Linked DNA regions of Caenorhabditis elegans. The protein of the gene in region 4 interacts with the protein of the main gene of each other region in a pairwise test. Each region holds a gene or a part of one and is shown on either strand. Other genes may lie near its edges.

Region 1 (3,969 bases), on a different chromosome or scaffold from region 4:
GTTTACAGGAAATGTTTGACATTCCAATACGAAGACCAGTTCAATAAATCATTCTCGCAACGACCCCTGAAACGATGACATGATTGAACAATAATTCGTTAACAAGTCGACTCAATTGCAATAATACACGGCTGCGGTCTCCTTCGACAATTGTCATCTTGCTAAACAATTGAACAAGACGAATGAAAAGAAGGTTGAGGTTTTGACAAACTGTACAGGACGCGTCTCTAACCTCCTTTCTCAAATTGGGTGGCATCATTGTTCGAAAAAGGTGTCGCTATAATTGACGAATTATTCGACTCCTAGGCAGACGATCTTCAACTGTAAAGGTGTTACGGAAAATCTACTCAGCTATGAAAGTTGGAAGGCCTCCACTTTGACGAGTAACGTAGAGTGTTTGAGGTGGAGAGGAAGCGGGACGACTTTTTGCTTCCCCCCAAAATTGTCTATTAATGAGAAGGCTAATTGACGCACTTGGTGTGAGGAAATCGCTACCGTAATTTTGTCATTTGGAATGATTCGCAATGTTCTGTTACTTGAGCGAAAACACTCCAGCGTCCGTTGACTGTATTGCATTTTATTATTTTATAATAACCAAGACATTGAAAGTGAAACATTACAGAAGAAATTAAGAGATCGGATTTTGAGAATGAGGGCAAAATTAAAGTGGCTCAGCAGGAAAAATAGAAGAGAAAAACAATAGAAATTGAGAATTTGACATTTTGCGTGATGAAAACCGGATAAATACTCTAAGCGAAAAAAAAACAATCTTCAAGGTGGAAAGGTATTATTCATCCTCATCTGATTCTTTTTTAGAAACAGATGCATTTTTTACAGAATCAGGAGATACTGATGGTGATTCTTTTGGGGAACTGATATCATCTTTTACGTTTTGCGATGCTAGAAATTGCAGTAGAGAATTTTGAGAGTTGCTAGCAGGAATCATTGAAGAAGTTGGGACGACTAATGAATTGAATACAGGGCGATTATTAGAAGCTCCAAACATTGAAGTGTTCTGTGATAAGTAGTTTGCCCAATATGGATTTGTTCTTAGAAGTTGTTGAACGGCGGCCATATTTCCAGCATCGTGAAGAAGATCCATACCAACAGAGGCTTGTCGTTTCCATTTGGTTCTGAAAGTACCGTGAACATTTTTTTTCATTTCAAGCACTTTTTTTCTCAAATTTTTTGCGCCTCCCAGGGTAGCAGCTCCAATCTCAAAAATTGGATAATGACAGTGGAGCCGTTTCCCGTGGGGTGGTTGAAAGGAGTGGGGGAGGGCGCGGAAAAAAGATGACACTACTAAATAAAATTGGTGGGCGCACGCAAAGAAATTGAGGAGGGGTGAGAGCTTTGATTAAGATAAATTTCGATGGGGGTGAAGCTTCTCGCTAATGCACTACAATTAACACAAAGTGGCGTGTTTAGACTCAATTCTCGCCCAACTGCTGGCGCAAAGAGCCACACGTTGTTGTTTTTCGAGAAAAGAAAAAAAGTTTGCCTAATTAAGGAATATAGCCGACCAACCTTCTATTTTGATACCATGTCTTTACTTGAGTATCTGTTAGCCCCATTCGATGAGCCAGCTCCATCCTATCTTGAACAGACAAGTACTTCTGCTTCTCAAAGGTGTTTTCTAGCTCTTGAAGTTGTTTGTCGGTGAAGATAGTTCTCGCCTTCCGAGCCTTTTTTGATCCCACGCATGTCGGACTCTCGTTCACAGATCTTTCGGTATTCGGGCTCCCAATTCTAGGGGATGATGGCGATTCCGAGGAATTAATGGAGGTAGGAGATGGATCTACAATAACAAATAAATAAAGAAAACTGTTTGTATAGGTAAGAGGAGAACAAAGGATCATAATTGGTTGACCTATTACTATTACAGATTACCGTCCATGTGACTACTGGAGCGTTAATCCGTTAAATATCATTTTTCAGGTTAGTTGTACATTCAACATTCTCATGGAAGTCTATGTAGATTAAAGTGTTAGAGATGGTTGAACGAACATACAATAAATGCAATAACTTTAGGAAAATGGTGGCAAAATGGATTACCTGGTTCGTTGGTTGAGTGTGAAGTTGGATCAAGCAGATCAGAAATGCGAAAAGAGCTGTTTAAGTTTATCTTCGCGCCACCGGAAGAACTCTGAGCAGCAAGTTGGTTGGTGGGGTCTAGAAAGAATGCAGGAATCAGAAACTGACGGAGATCCAACATTGACATTGTTATGATAACCTTATCAGATGATGTAACAATACAATAAGTTTTGTAATAGTCAAATTGAATGACTTTTAGACAGTAGTTTAGTGTGAATGAGTGGGTTGGAAGGGTCCTGTTGCCTGCAGTCACTAAACGTCGCAAACTCGTTGATTGGTCTAGTCACGCCCATGCGAAGTGGAAGGCGGGGCGTGTCGAAGAAGGGAATAGAATGGATGACACCACGCGGTTTTGTATTGAGAAGTGTGGTCCGTGCAATCCACCTTTTTGAAGCCAATCAAGTGTGATAATGGGGGACGATGAAGCTGAAAACGAGCAGCTTCGAGGAAAAGACGAAAAGCAAAAGTTTCGGAAATGAGGCATTCAGGTGAGAAGAAAACAATTCAGACAAATCCCGAAACTGCCGAATGCAAACTATGCACACTAGGCTTTTCCTAAAAGCAGAGTAACAACGCAATGCAACATGATCCAAACGAGCAATGATTTTCAGATAAAAAAGCACTGAATAGAATTCAATATAACTAGCTATGCTAGTGTAAAACCGCAGAAAAAATCAAAAATAGCATGCTGCTTCGGCGTGCAAAAACTAGCGACTAAAGCTAAAAATGAGTTTCAGCCCGAATGATGTTTCAGCTTTCTGACTAAAAGATGATGAGGTCTAATAGGTACATTGTGTGTGTTTTAATATTTGATACATCACTGATTTGAAATCAGCACAATGGAAAACACTATCTGAAAAGTTCAGTAACAGTGACTACTTTTGATAGTTCATTTTGCATTTAGATTTTCCTGGCTGTGATCTTAAACTTGCTTCACACGTACAGTTCAGATTAACTGGTAACATCTTTTGGTACTTGTGTAGTATACCTAACACAAAAACATTTTCCAGTACATTTTCCATGCATTTCTTTTGAAACATAATAATTTATTCAAACCATGAAATAGATTTGCATTTTTAGACTTTGAAATACTTTAACCTTAAGCCTATTATCGGCAAAAAGGGGTTTAATATTTTTGGACCAGGTGTACTAAACTGGTACCTAATTTTTTTAATCCCAGATCCGCAAAAATCAGATTCTCAAAACACTAAAAATTATAATAAAATGCTAAGTAAGTAAATTTTTTATTTATTTTGAGCTTTATAGGAACTAAAAAAATGTAAACGTTTTCCGAGCTTTTAATTTCTTGAGCATTTATACTTAATTAGAGTTTAAATTTGTATTTTTCGGTAGCCGAGTTTGCAATAGTCTGGGTTCCTCTTTTATAGACTATTATGAGCAAAAAAACTTTGTTTTACATATTGAAATATTTTAAAAATTATAAACTAATATTTATAGTTGTAAAAAATTTTCAGACCCTTTATGTTTGCTTGAAAATTTGTTCAAAAAGTTTTCAATAAAATATCATGTTGAAACATCGTTATCATTCTGAAAAATATATTTGCAAAGTGAACAATGTCAACAATCGTTATATTTTTCACAACCGATTCATGAACAACGCGAATCTATTGTTTGTTATCAACGTCTAACAACTTACTAATACTTAATTTCCTGCCGTATTACCTCTCTAGTTTTCCGGCTGTTTATGTTTGGCGGCCACCTCCGTAAAACGTTAACTTAAACGTACAAATCTAATTTTATGCTGTCCCATCGTTTTCCCTCTTTCCCACTAACTAATAAGCAATATTTCCGGTCACAAACGGTCGATGAGCAACAATAATATCTGCATTCTCTTTGACGGACAGCTGTAGGCCC
Region 2 (3,721 bases), on a different chromosome or scaffold from region 4:
ATAAAGTGAATTCGAGTGGATGTGTCGACTTGGAGAGCAATGCACCACCACCGGCACCACGCCAACAGCATCACGTACCGCCGAGTGCCGTTCGTCCGAATCCGATGCCTCCACAGAGACCCGTTGCTCAGCAGCCAGTGAGAGCTTTGTCGGCTCTTCACGCAGCACACATTGGAGATGCTCCGATTCGAATGGCGTACACTGGCCAGCCAACGGTTATTTAATTTAATTATTGTTTTTTTTTAAATGCGACTAATACTCCAGCAGGACAAATTTCCAAATTTCGTAACGAAACTGCTCAAAAAATTGACTAATTTCTGCAAAAATCTCGAATTTTGGCCACTTTTTCCCTGTCACATCGGTCCGAAATTGATTTTTTTTTGAAATTATCATCCTTCATTGCAGATTTGGGTGGTTTATCTCATGTAATTTCGCCAATTAAAGTACATTTAAAGCCGATAGGTAACCGACAGGCTTTAAATGTACCTTAATCGATGAAATTAAATGATAGGGATGATAATTCCAAAAAATTCAATTTCAGACAGATGTGACACGGAAAAAGGGAAAAATTCGAGATTTTAGCTGAAATCAGTGCAATTTTTCAAAAATTTCGCAGTTTCATTATGAAATTCGTTTTTTTTAGCCCATTTTGGGTCTATACATTCAAAATCGTCAAGAATCTTGCACGACTCCTACGTAAACCACAAAACTAAACCATCGTTTTTCAGCAACATCCATCTCAAGTTCGCATGTTCAATCCACAATTTCAAGGTGGAATTCACTTTCAACCGGGACAAGTGTTCGTTGTGCAGCAACCAAATGGTCAGAATATTCCAATGTCGATTATGCCGAATCAGATTCCACAGCATCGAATTATTCATCAAGGACAGCCACAACAGGCTCAGCAGCAGCAGCCTCAACAGGGCAATCAACTTACCCATATGAATCAAATGGACGGAAATGTGGGATCCGAATCAGACGGAGAAGGACCTAGTGGACCTGTAAAACTTGCTCCAAAAAAGACAAAGTGCTCATTGAGAGTCCGTGGAAGTGGAGCAAGTGAGAAGAAAGCGATGAAAGTCTTGGGATCACTATTGAAAGACTTTCAACTCGACGGAGGTGGCGGTGGAATGTCTGATTCTTCCAGTGAAGATGAGCCTGACGATGATGATGATCCACTTCGAAGAATCGCTGATCGCATGGGAAATGGTGAAGTTGAAGATGGAGATCAAGTGGCAGAAGAGGAACCATTGAATTCTGAAGATGATCAATCAGACGATGAAGATTTGACGATGCTATTCGAGGCGGACAATGTTGTCATGTGCCAGTTCGAGAAGGTTAATTCTATTTATTTTATAAGTTAAATTGTCGAATCTTGCAATTTTCAGGTGAATCGTGCCCGTACCAAGTGGAAGTTCCAGCTCAAGGATGGAATTATGCACATCGACAAAAAGGATTACTGCTTCCAGAAGTGTACCGGAGAAGCTGAATGGTGATTCGATCACCGATTTACAACATCTTTAACATTATTATCATTATTATTTCCAAATAATTATTCCCCCATTCTCATGTCCCCGCTAGTCCAGGATCCAATGAACAATATGCCTGAAGTGTAGTCTCATGCACTGTGATTTCCGCCCTTCCGCCCCGTTTTCATCAATTTTCCTTCATCATCAGTGATTCCCGATTCTTACATCATTTCTGTCTTAAAACTTCTTCCTTAAACCAAGGTCTGTAACATTGAATTTTACGATAATTCTCTTTGCAATATTCTCTATTTGTTTGCCGTTTATCTTTTTTTTAAAGTTCATCAACTTCATTCGTAGAATTCATCTATAAAATGTACCCCACCAATTCCTCTCCAGTTTTAGTACTTATTTATGAATGGATGAAGTTTTCAGATCTATACTTATATTGTATTCAATTGGTTTTCAAATTTTCAATATTTTTTAGGTTCAATTCCAGATGGACTTGCTGCCGGGTTTTCGAGAAGAAATTCTCAGAAAATTTATCGGTGAAGGTGGAAAAATCGTAACAACGAAGCATCTGGAACGATTTCAACTTCTAATCACGGCGATTTCAAGGTACTCACTGAAAATTAAAAACAAAAAAGGAATAAAAATATATTCTAAGAGATGGAAAGCTTATCCGAGGAGTTTTGGATCAAAAATCGAGATTCAATCGAGAATTGATGAATCGTGAGAAATACGAAACACCTTATATCGTCGAATTGCCCGGAGACCATCCAGCTGATACAGAACATGTTAGATATAGTGTTTCTTTGGTAAGAATTGGATTTAATTCTGAAAATAAATGGAAAAAATTGAATCTTAAGTGATTTTTTAATTTCTGGCAAATCAGCAAATTGCCGAAATTGAAATTTTCGGCAAATCGGCGAATTGCCGGAATTGAAATTTCCGGCAAATCAGCAAATTGCCGAAATTGAATTTTCCTCCAAACCCGGCAATTTGCCAGAATTGAACATTTTCGGCAAATAGGCAAATTGCCAGAATTGAAAACTTCTGGCCAATTGGCAATTTTCCGAATTTGCCGAACGGCAATTGCCGCCCACCAATGAATTTGGCCATAGTGGCCCCCATATTTTGAAAATATTTATATTTTAACTTTATTTTTCATTTCAGCCGCGCACAAAACGAGTAATTGCACTTCGCTATGAAAAGGAAACACCTTCAACATCTTCTGAAACAAAAACGAAGCGAATCCGGACGGCTGCTCAACTTTTAGGAGATACTGAAGATTATTGTTGTAGGGTTAGTTTTTTTGTAATTTTCCAAAATTAATATGCCAAATATATTTCAGACTTGTTTCAAACGTTTCTCTCGGAAATTCAATTTGGAACGCCACGAGGACGGGTGTTTGCCGAAGCCAATTCTTTTCCAATGCCCAATTTGTCATCAAAAGTATAAAAGAGCTCCATATTTTGCGGTAAGCATCGAATATTCTTGGTTCAACGGAAAAATTTAAATATATTTTTTTTCAGGCTCATATTCGGCAACACGAAGCTGAAGAGAAACGACAACATCGTGACGTCAAACGTCTTGCAATTGAGCATGGAAATATGGACGAAATACGACGAAAAGCTGAAGAATCTGTGAATAAACTGTCGATTCCTTATGAATTCGGAACTTTTTTATAGAATTCGAATAAAAATTTGGAATATTTAATGCTGATGTTTCCAATTTCACAACAACAAAACACGATCGTTAAAATTATTCATTTGTCGCTTAGAAACCAGCGGATCGTCGCCTAGAGACTGGCAGCCCATCGGCATTTTTCTTCCAGAATGCCTTCACTTTAAAAAAATTTCCAATGAGAAATTTGGTTTTCTCATTGGTGTTTCTAATATTTAATCTAGTGAATAATATCAATAAAGTCAACTCGCAATGTACTTCGGACACAATTCGTGAGAAATTCTATAATAAACGTCACACTGTCGCATTACGGTTTGATCTACAAAAAAATGCAGGAATTTTTTGCACAAAAATATGTGACGTCAGCACGTTATTAGCCATACGAAATCAGCTCCCGCGTTTTTTGTAGATCTATGTAGATCATACCGAGATGGAGCACTCTGACACCACTTGAAACTTTACTCACTGATTCTATTTCAGCAAGCTCATTGGCAACGTTGACTCAGTATCAAGTAGGATCTGAAGGAGATCGTAAGAACAAATATTTGATTGAACAGAAAATCAAGTTA
Region 3 (4,080 bases), on a different chromosome or scaffold from region 4:
GCCGCAGCGACTGGAAACATTTTTTTTTGAAATCATCGTTAAATTTTGAGTTTACAGCATGATTATCTTGAGTTTTCAACTCCATTTAGGTATTTTAAAATCGATGGACGAAGAGATTTTTAAATTTTTAAAACCAAATCTCGCCGTAGTCCATGGACTTTAAAATACCTAAATGAAGTTGAAAACGCAAGATAATTACATTGTATACTCAAAATTTGACGGTGATTTCAAAAAAAAAATTGCCTTCAGCCGTTACGACATTGACAAGTCGTCGGTCAAATTTGAAATTTTAACGAATTTTTGGCCATTTTTTGAGCCGTCATAATTTTTTTTTGAGAAGTTTTCAAAAAAGTTTCATTATGAAATTCTGTGTTTTCAGACAATTTTGAGTCTAATGAAGCAATAAAAAAAATCGACTACACCGCCTATAATACACATGCTCGGAGAGTTGTAAATTTGAGACAAAAATTTTGAAGTTGTGGAATTTCTACTAATTTTGATGTTCTAAAAGGTTCAAAAACACTGAAAATTCAAATTTCGCGGTTTTTTTTCTTCAATTCAATCGAACATCGTTTATTGGGGGCACACAATAATACAAGTGACAAAAAGCTACACAAATCAAGAAATAACATGCTTCTGGTCCTCCTCCGCCTCCTCCTTCGCCGATTTCTGTTGCTGCACAGCGTCCTGCTTGATCTGCTTGTATTTCTCCTTTCTCAACTTGAATCTCCGATTCTGAAACCAAATCTTGATCTGCTCGGGCGAAAGTCCGATGACTGCTCCCAACTTCCGTCGCTCGTCAACCTTTATTGTGTCGCACTGCTCAAATCTGGTTCTCAACGCGTAAAGCTGAGAATCGGAGAACGGAGTTCGAGCGCCTCTCCGCTTTTCTGAAGGAGCTCTTGGATGCTGCTGATGCTGATGATGTAGAAAAGACGGCGGTGGTGGGATGAAGCCAGCGTGATGAGCCACCATAGGATGAGGAAACGAGGATGGGGAGAGTTGTGAGTACTGCTGCTGGAACCAGGCGAAGCATTGAGCTTGGTAGGCTTGAGCATGGGCTTGAACTCTGTAAAAAAAAAGGAATTTTCGGAAGAAAAGCGATCACGGAGATGAATTTTGTTGCAAATAAGCAGTGATCAAATTTTCCAAATAGGGATTTTTGCCGCTGTAAATTTAACATGCCAAAAAGAAGCTACCAAATTTGCCCAATTTGTGGCAATTGGACTTCTTGGAGCTGTTAATTTCAAAAAAAGCAGCTACCAAAATTGCCTAAATTTGGAATTTTGGCCACTGCTAATTGCGAAGAAGAAGCTTCGAAAATTGTTCAAAATTGAAATTTTTGAAAACAGTTAATTGCAAAAAAAGTAGCAAACAAAATTTCCTGAATTGGATTGTTAAGAGCTCTTAATTGCATAGAAGCAGCTACGAAAATAGTTCAGAATGGACTTTTCGACACTGCTAATTGCAGGAAAACAGCTACCAAAATTGCATAAATTTGGAATTTTTGGAGCTTTTAATTGCAAAAAAGCAGCTACCGAAATAGTTCAAATTGGAATTTTCGACATTGCTAGTTGCAATAAATCTACCAAATTTGCCCAATTTGTGCAAATTGGACTTCTTGGAGCTGTTAATTGCAAAAAAAGCAGCTGCTACCAAAATTGCCTAAATTTGGAATTTTGGCCACTGTTAATTGCAAAAAAGCAGCTACCAAATTTGCCCAATTTGTGCAAATTGGACTTTTCGACACTGTTAATTGCAAAATTGCAGCTACCAAAATAGTTCAAATTGGAATTTTTAGAGCTGTTAATTGCAACAAAGCAGCTAACAAAGTTTTTTTTTGCTAAAAATGCCCGTTCGCGGCCATATAGTGTGAAAAAGCTATATTTTGAGTAATTTCCCACTGTCAAAACTTATGGGGTTATTCAAGAAATGTTACTTGCAAAATGTATTTAAATACATGTTTTTAAATGTATTTTAATACAGTTGTGACGTAATTTTTCTACACTTTTTAATTTTCCGACGCTAATTGAATAACCCCATTAAAATTAGCGGTTCTTCACGCATTTCGGTAGAAAAACGTAGTGAAAATCACTCTAAAACGCCCGTTTTGTACTGAAAAGTATCGAAAAAACTTACAACATATCATTCCCATTATGAGCCAGCTGTTGTTGATAGTAAAGCTGATTGGGATCCGCCACGTAGCACGGTGATGGAGCCTGATAGGCCGCCGGATAGGCTGGCGATGAGCTCATTGAGCCCGGAGAGCTGCTTGGCATTGTGGAATATTCCATTACAGTAGCATTAGTAATAGCAGAAGTTGAATTAAGATTCGAAGAAGACAAAGGATAATAGTCACCGCCGTTATTAATATTATAGTTGGATGATGACATTTTGTGTGGAATGAATTGGGGGAATTATAGTGGCTATTCTCCAGCTGGGGAGGCTGTAAATCTAGGCGGAGCATTGCTGCCTAGGTAGGCGGGGAGGCGAGAAGGTGCGATTTTGTTTGGCGGGAGACATGACCGGGAAAAGGTGACACCGGAGAGGTGAGATACCTGGGAATTGGGTGAGATTTTCCGGCTGTTCTTCAGAATTGTCTGAAAATCTGGAAAAATGTGAAGTTTTTCCACGGAAAAGCGAATTTTCGATTGATTCTTGTAGTTTTTCGTACAAATCGGACAATGCCAAAATTTGGCAGTTTTGGTACTTTGTGTTGGATTACGGTAGAAATTTTGGTCTGAAAAGCTTATTTTTAAGCCAATTTCAGTCAAAAACTGCAGTTCCGGCAATTCGGCAAAAACTTGCCGGAATTAAAAATTTCCGGCAAATTTGCAAGTTGCCGGAATTGAAAATTTCTGGCAAATCGACAAATTGCTGGAATTTGAAATTTCCTGCAAACCGGCGGAATTAAAAATTTCTGGCAAATCGGCAAACTGGCAAACTGCCGGAATTGAAAATTTCTGGCAAAATGGGCGATTTGCCGGAATTGAAAATTTCCGGCAAATCGGCAAATTGGCGGAATTGAAAATTTCCGGCAAATTGTCGGAACTGAAAATTTCTGGCAAAATGGGCAATTTGCCGGAATTGAAAATTTCCTGCAAACCGGCAAAAATTTGCCGGAATTTAAAATTTCTGGCAAATTGCCGGAACTGAAAATTTCCTTCAAACCGGCACATTGCCGGAATTGAACATTTCCGGCAAACGGGTAAAAACTTGCCGGAATTCGCCGAATTTTCCGAACAACAATTGCCCGCCTACTTAAAACTTTTAAAAAAGCAAAAAAGAAAAAAACAACTGACATAAAAATTATCTGATCAATAAGATATTGGAAAAAATGTTGAAAATTGCAAAAAAATATATCGAATCTAGGCATATAGTGCTCCCTAAACTACAACCTACAACAAATTTCAAATAAAATATACAAAATTTTGCAAAAAAAAGAAAAAATATAATTAAAATTCAAATTTCGAAATGTTAAATTTGAAAATTTTAGAGTTTTTCGACGAAATTACAACAAAAACACTCTGAAAATTATAAAAATCCTGGATTTTTTCAGGTGAAAGAGGCAAAAATCATCGCAATGACTTGTACACACGCGGCTCTCCGTCGAAATGAGCTCGTGAAGCTCGGCTTCCGCTACGATAATATCGTAATGGAAGAAGCCGCTCAAATTCTTGAAGTTGAAACATTTATCCCATTGTTACTACAAAATCCACAAGACGGACACAATCGACTGAAACGATGGATTATGATTGGAGATCATCATCAGCTGCCGCCAGTTGTACAGAATCAGGCATTCCAGAAATATTCGAATATGGAACAATCGTTATTTGCGAGATTAGTCAGGCTTAGTGTACCAAATGTGCAGTTGGATCGACAGGGAAGAGCCAGGGCTCAGTGCGTGTTTTTTTTTGGGGAATTCTTGAGAAATTCTACGTGAAAATTAAGAATTTTACGGTTGAATTTACCGAAAAACGATTTTTCGTGCGAAATTGGCAAATTTTCATATGAAAATTGCAACTTTTCACAAGAAAAATTTGGCATTTGAGCTCAATTTGCTGAAATTCAGATTTTTTT
Region 4 (4,391 bases):
TTATAGGCGATAGGCAGGTATGTAGGCAAACTGAGGAGTTTGCTCCAAAATGCAGAAAGTAGACTATAAGAAGGTTACCTGAAGTCAATACTTAACATTTAATAAACTGAAAATTCTTACAAATGATCTGTCATATTTGAAATCCTGTAAAACATCTCTGAAGCTATTAAATTTTTGCAATTTAAGCTATTAAAATGTTGACCCAAAACTCCCTCCAAAGTTCCCAAAAACTATAACATGTCAAGTACATAAAATGTCCTTCCCTATCCATAACCTAATGATCACCTGTCAATTCTAGTTACCTAACAACATAAAACGCGTACCGCTCTTTCTCCTCCACCCAACAGTGCGCCAGACGGATCCCTTTACAACTCTCTGGTTGGTGATGATGTAATTTGGAGCCGCCGGCTCACCGCAATACTGTCGGAGCACAAAATTCAGGAAAATGATCCTGATTGAGAACATGGTGCATGCATTAACAGATAATTTGTTTTTGAAGGGAAAATCAATAATTATCTGGAGATTAGATATCTTGTTTTTAGAGATAGTTGTAAACAATGGCAAATTGTAAAACCACTTTAGATGAACCTGGAACTTTCGGGAAATCTGGCAACCGAGCTACAAACTACAAACTACAGAAAATCAATCTACAAATGTTTTTTTCAGTCAAGAACCGAGATATCAGTTGCACATGGTGCATCGAACACTAACAAGATTAATCAAAATTTGTCACGTCCAGTATATCCGTAGTAAAAGTGAGAATTAACCTCAATGATTTATCATCCTGCCCGTGTCCTTCTTCCCGTTTATCAATATTACCGTAGTGGTGATGGTGGTGGGGGCATCGAATATCGTCGTAAAATCGTCGTTAAACAAATTTTATGAACTCTATATACAAATCAAGCGTGTTATTATTGTTTGGTAGAAAGATTGGAAAACGATAAAGAGAGGTGAACAGGTTTCCTAAAATATCCCCCCGGAGATTCATTTCTAGCAAGTATTTGGAGAAAGATGAAGAGGGACTGCACAATATTTAAATCGTTGAACCAATAAAATAATAATCACAAACTTGGAGCATTTGGAGCATTCGATGACGATTTTCTAGAAACTGGGGAAGTTATGAGGTTTTTGGATTACATTTTTGATTGGAGTATCATGAACATTTTTTAGAACTCCTTAATAATAATTCTTCAAACGACAAAGAAGTTTCAACCAAAAAATTTGTCAAAAAGTGTTTCTAACAGAAATGAAAGTATGTAGAGAGAAAGTTGGGATAAAGTAGGTTGAGAAGTATCCCACATATCTCAAAAAATATTTGGTTTATCAAAAAGTTGTCAACTGACAAATAGTCGAGCAAAATGTCAATTGAAAATTCCCTCGTATTATTGATTTTTGGGAAGTTACAGCTGTTCAAACTTTTAATTTTGTCTATTTTCACCTTTGAAACTTATTCCTTCACACAATTCCCCTTTTTAGCATCCCGCCAAACATCGAAAAACCACGCCTACCAGTGTTATCGCTACCGTACCCCGCGGTCCGCCTTCGGGAAGGCAGGAGTGGGGCCGTGGCATCCAGGTGAGACCCCAGGCTCACTCTCAGCCACCAATCTGTTTAGTATTCACTTTTACGCGAATTTTCCAATTTACCAATATTTCAGTTTTTGCCCGTTTTGATTGAATCCTTATTATAATATGAAATTCCAGAGAAAAACCATGACAGATCAAGTGTATGTGACACTTCGAGAAGATCAGGATAAGCTGTGGAACCTCTTCCATTATCATAAAAACGAGATGATTGTCACAAAATCCGGCAGGAAAATGTTCCCGAAGCTTGAGTATGTGGTCAGAGGTCTCACGCCGAACAAGCTCTACGCTATGATGCTTCATATTGAGCCATCCGACGATCATCGGTACAAGTTCAGCAGTGGAGAATGGGTCAAGTCGGGAAAAGCCGAAAAGCACAGGGAGCCAAAGAAGTTGTGGCATGCGGATGGAGTTAGAAGTGGAAAGTGAGTTTTTTTTTGGAATGCTTTGTTAGTTGATCTTTTATTAGATAGCGCAGTCAGGGTTGGAGTACCTATTTTTCAGCAGGGAATCAGAAAATAATTTCAATTTAGAACTGTAATATCTCAAAGGAAAATAAAAATACAATAGTTGCTTACTGATGAAATGTTTATTATAAAATTTTCTACAGTTTTCCAATTGACAACTTTTTTGTAATGACTGTTTCAAGCAAGTTATAACTACTTAAAAATGTAACACATCGCCAACTTGAGCATGTTAACTTCAAACTGTTATAAAACTACGGGCGGTTTAAATATCAAATATCAAATCCTTTTCAAATAAATTATCTGATTTTCTGTATATCTCCCTATAGTAACTTTTTTCCAGAGAATGGATGACCAACCCAGTTTGCTTCGATCGTGTAAAAATCACAAATTGCGCTGAATCTACAAATGCATCAATGGTAACAGCCATAATTCTTTTCTCCTTCAACCTCAGCATTTCCCAATTTCTTCCAGATTTTCCTTCACAGCATGCACAAATACACACCAGTAATGTCAATCTACGAGTCCCCATCGGAGAGCCCATTCAGCGTCCCACAACCATCGACCCGTCTTGTCACTTCTGTTCGACTCACTTATACCGAATTTATTGCAGTTACAGCGTACCAGGTAACACTTGTTTGGGATCTAGATAACTTTGCCTATTGAGCCCGCATTAACACTTGCATTAACACGTGTGGCTCTCTATGAGCCACATCTTCTGAAGGGTGCGAACACTAATTGTTTGAGGGGTATTGTTTTGGGTTTTCTGTGAAGTGAAAGGGTTTGACACAAAACAAATAGAAGAAAAGGATATTTAAATAATTGTTGCAATTTTTTATTAGAAATTAAAGTAAAATGGGTAAATATATTAATATAAATTTTTAGTCTCATTCTTGATTTATTAAGATTTCCTCAAAAACCGTAAGAGAGCTATCATGAAATTTTTGACCTATAAAATGATGTATACTTTTCAAATCTGAAATAACTTTTCTCTTAATTGAAAATATTGAAAAAACACTCAAAAATTGTCTGAAAGCTGAAAATAGCTTGAAAAAAGTTTTGATAGTTTGCCGGCAGTTTTTTACCGTTTTTCCGATTGTTGCAACTGTCTCAGGCGGTTTTAAAGACCAACAGCAAATAATTAACTGCATTATTTAATCTACAATTTTTTATTTTCTTGAAAACAGCGAGGCATCTCAGAAAGTTGTCTTTTTTCCATGGCTCAATCAAAATGTAACTCTTAAATTCAAAAACTTCCAGAACGACGCAGTAATCAAGCTGAAAATCAAGTTCAACCCATTTGCCAAAGGATTCCGAGAGGGAAGCCAATCAGACAGAAAACGAAATTCTCCATCCGCCGACGACTCTACAACAGATGAAAGCTCATCTCAAGTCTCTTCTCCTCAGCCAAAAAAGTCACGAACCGTGTCAGTATCACCTCCATTGATGCCACGGATCCTTCCAACAATGATTCCACCACCACCAGCCATCAATCCCCTTTTCTACAGTCTCCCCTACTTTTCCCATTTGGCAGCCACCGGGAACTTCCCGCCTGTACCATTCCAATTCCCATTTGGACTTCCATGCTTCTCCCCAATGTCATTTCCAACACCTCCGCCATCTTTGAAAAATGTCAAGAAAGAAGAGCAAGAGGATATTGAGCAGGAAATCAATGTAGTTTAATTGCAAAATTTAATTATTAATTTTAAATTGTTATACTTTAGTTCGGGTCACATGATCACTTTTTCTGTTAATTTTTTCTGCATAGAAGATTTTTTGTTTCTGAATTTGGACATAATCAAATAAATTTTATACGGTGTAATTATCTTCCAGACAAGTAGGCAGGCAGGCAAAAATGCTCTTCTGCGGGCATTCACAAAAAATAGGTCTTCTATTGCCCATGCCAATTTTTTGAAAAAATAACTTTAACTTTAAAAACCAGTTTTTTTGCGGCCTTTAAAATTGAGCAATTTTTCCTTTAAAAAATTTCCAAAAAACACCATGGCCGAATTTGTATTTTTCGCGGCCACGAGACTTCAATTTTTCATGGCAATGTTTTAAGAAACTTTTATGGTTTTTACAGTTTAAATTTTTTCCACCATAGAGCATAACTTGCCACGTGGCCGAAAAAAAACGGTGGCGGAGTTTCTTCAATTGGTTCTTTCTGCCACCAAGACTAAATGCGGGGCCGAGGTTTCACACGTTCTAGGCCACGCAATTTCTTTTTTGAACTGTTTTTCTTCTTTCCGTTCCTTCAATTTTCTCCGTTATGGCCTAGACTTTCTTGTGAAAAACTATAGTTCTTTCAATTTTGAAATTGCGAAAAATCGGCAAAGTCGACCTG

The links.
Region 1: the proteins of tbx-8 (region 4) and ceh-31 interact in a two-hybrid assay, tested with the Caenorhabditis elegans proteins (one large-scale study listed by BioGRID).
Region 2: the proteins of tbx-8 (region 4) and K11D12.12 interact in a two-hybrid assay, tested with the Caenorhabditis elegans proteins (one large-scale study listed by BioGRID).
Region 3: the proteins of tbx-8 (region 4) and ceh-51 interact in a two-hybrid assay, tested with the Caenorhabditis elegans proteins (one large-scale study listed by BioGRID).

What each region holds. Positions count from the first base shown.
Region 1 is NC_003284.9:3,068,087-3,072,055, forward strand, and holds ceh-31 (Homeobox protein ceh-31), read right to left. Parts: upstream 2,337-3,969; 5' UTR 2,222-2,336; coding exon 2,056-2,221; intron 1,799-2,055; coding exon 1,528-1,798; intron 1,471-1,527; exon of another isoform or gene 1,188-1,470; intron 1,134-1,187; coding exon 788-1,133; 3' UTR 562-787; downstream 1-561.
Region 2 is NC_003283.11:5,050,308-5,054,028, forward strand, and holds K11D12.12 (C2H2-type domain-containing protein), read left to right. Parts: upstream 1-1,953; 5' UTR 1,954-1,965; coding exon 1,966-2,084; intron 2,085-2,133; coding exon 2,134-2,284; intron 2,285-2,642; coding exon 2,643-2,771; intron 2,772-2,820; coding exon 2,821-2,946; intron 2,947-3,001; coding exon 3,002-3,157; 3' UTR 3,158-3,183; downstream 3,184-3,721. Other genes in the region: pqn-51 (Prion-like-(Q/N-rich)-domain-bearing protein), read left to right, coding at 1-215, 729-1,337, 1,389-1,496; cwp-4 (Coexpressed With Polycystins), read left to right, coding at 3,331-3,424, 3,633-3,683.
Region 3 is NC_003283.11:18,872,446-18,876,525, reverse strand, and holds ceh-51 (Homeobox protein ceh-51), read right to left. Parts: upstream 2,394-4,080; coding exon 2,140-2,393; intron 1,070-2,139; coding exon 619-1,069; 3' UTR 544-618; downstream 1-543. Other genes in the region: emb-4 (Intron-binding protein aquarius), read left to right, coding at 3,560-3,900. UniProt on the Caenorhabditis elegans protein: Required for mesoderm development, including specification of muscle and coelomocyte precursors.
Region 4 is NC_003281.10:10,345,872-10,350,262, forward strand, and holds tbx-8 (T-box transcription factor tbx-8), read left to right. Parts: upstream 1-1,703; 5' UTR 1,704-1,712; coding exon 1,713-2,008; intron 2,009-2,390; coding exon 2,391-2,466; intron 2,467-2,521; coding exon 2,522-2,674; intron 2,675-3,307; coding exon 3,308-3,730; 3' UTR 3,731-3,869; downstream 3,870-4,391. UniProt on the Caenorhabditis elegans protein: Transcription factor. Involved in the control of early morphogenesis of the intestine, hypodermis and body-wall muscle. Involved in regulating expression of vab-7. Appears to have partially redundant function to tbx-9.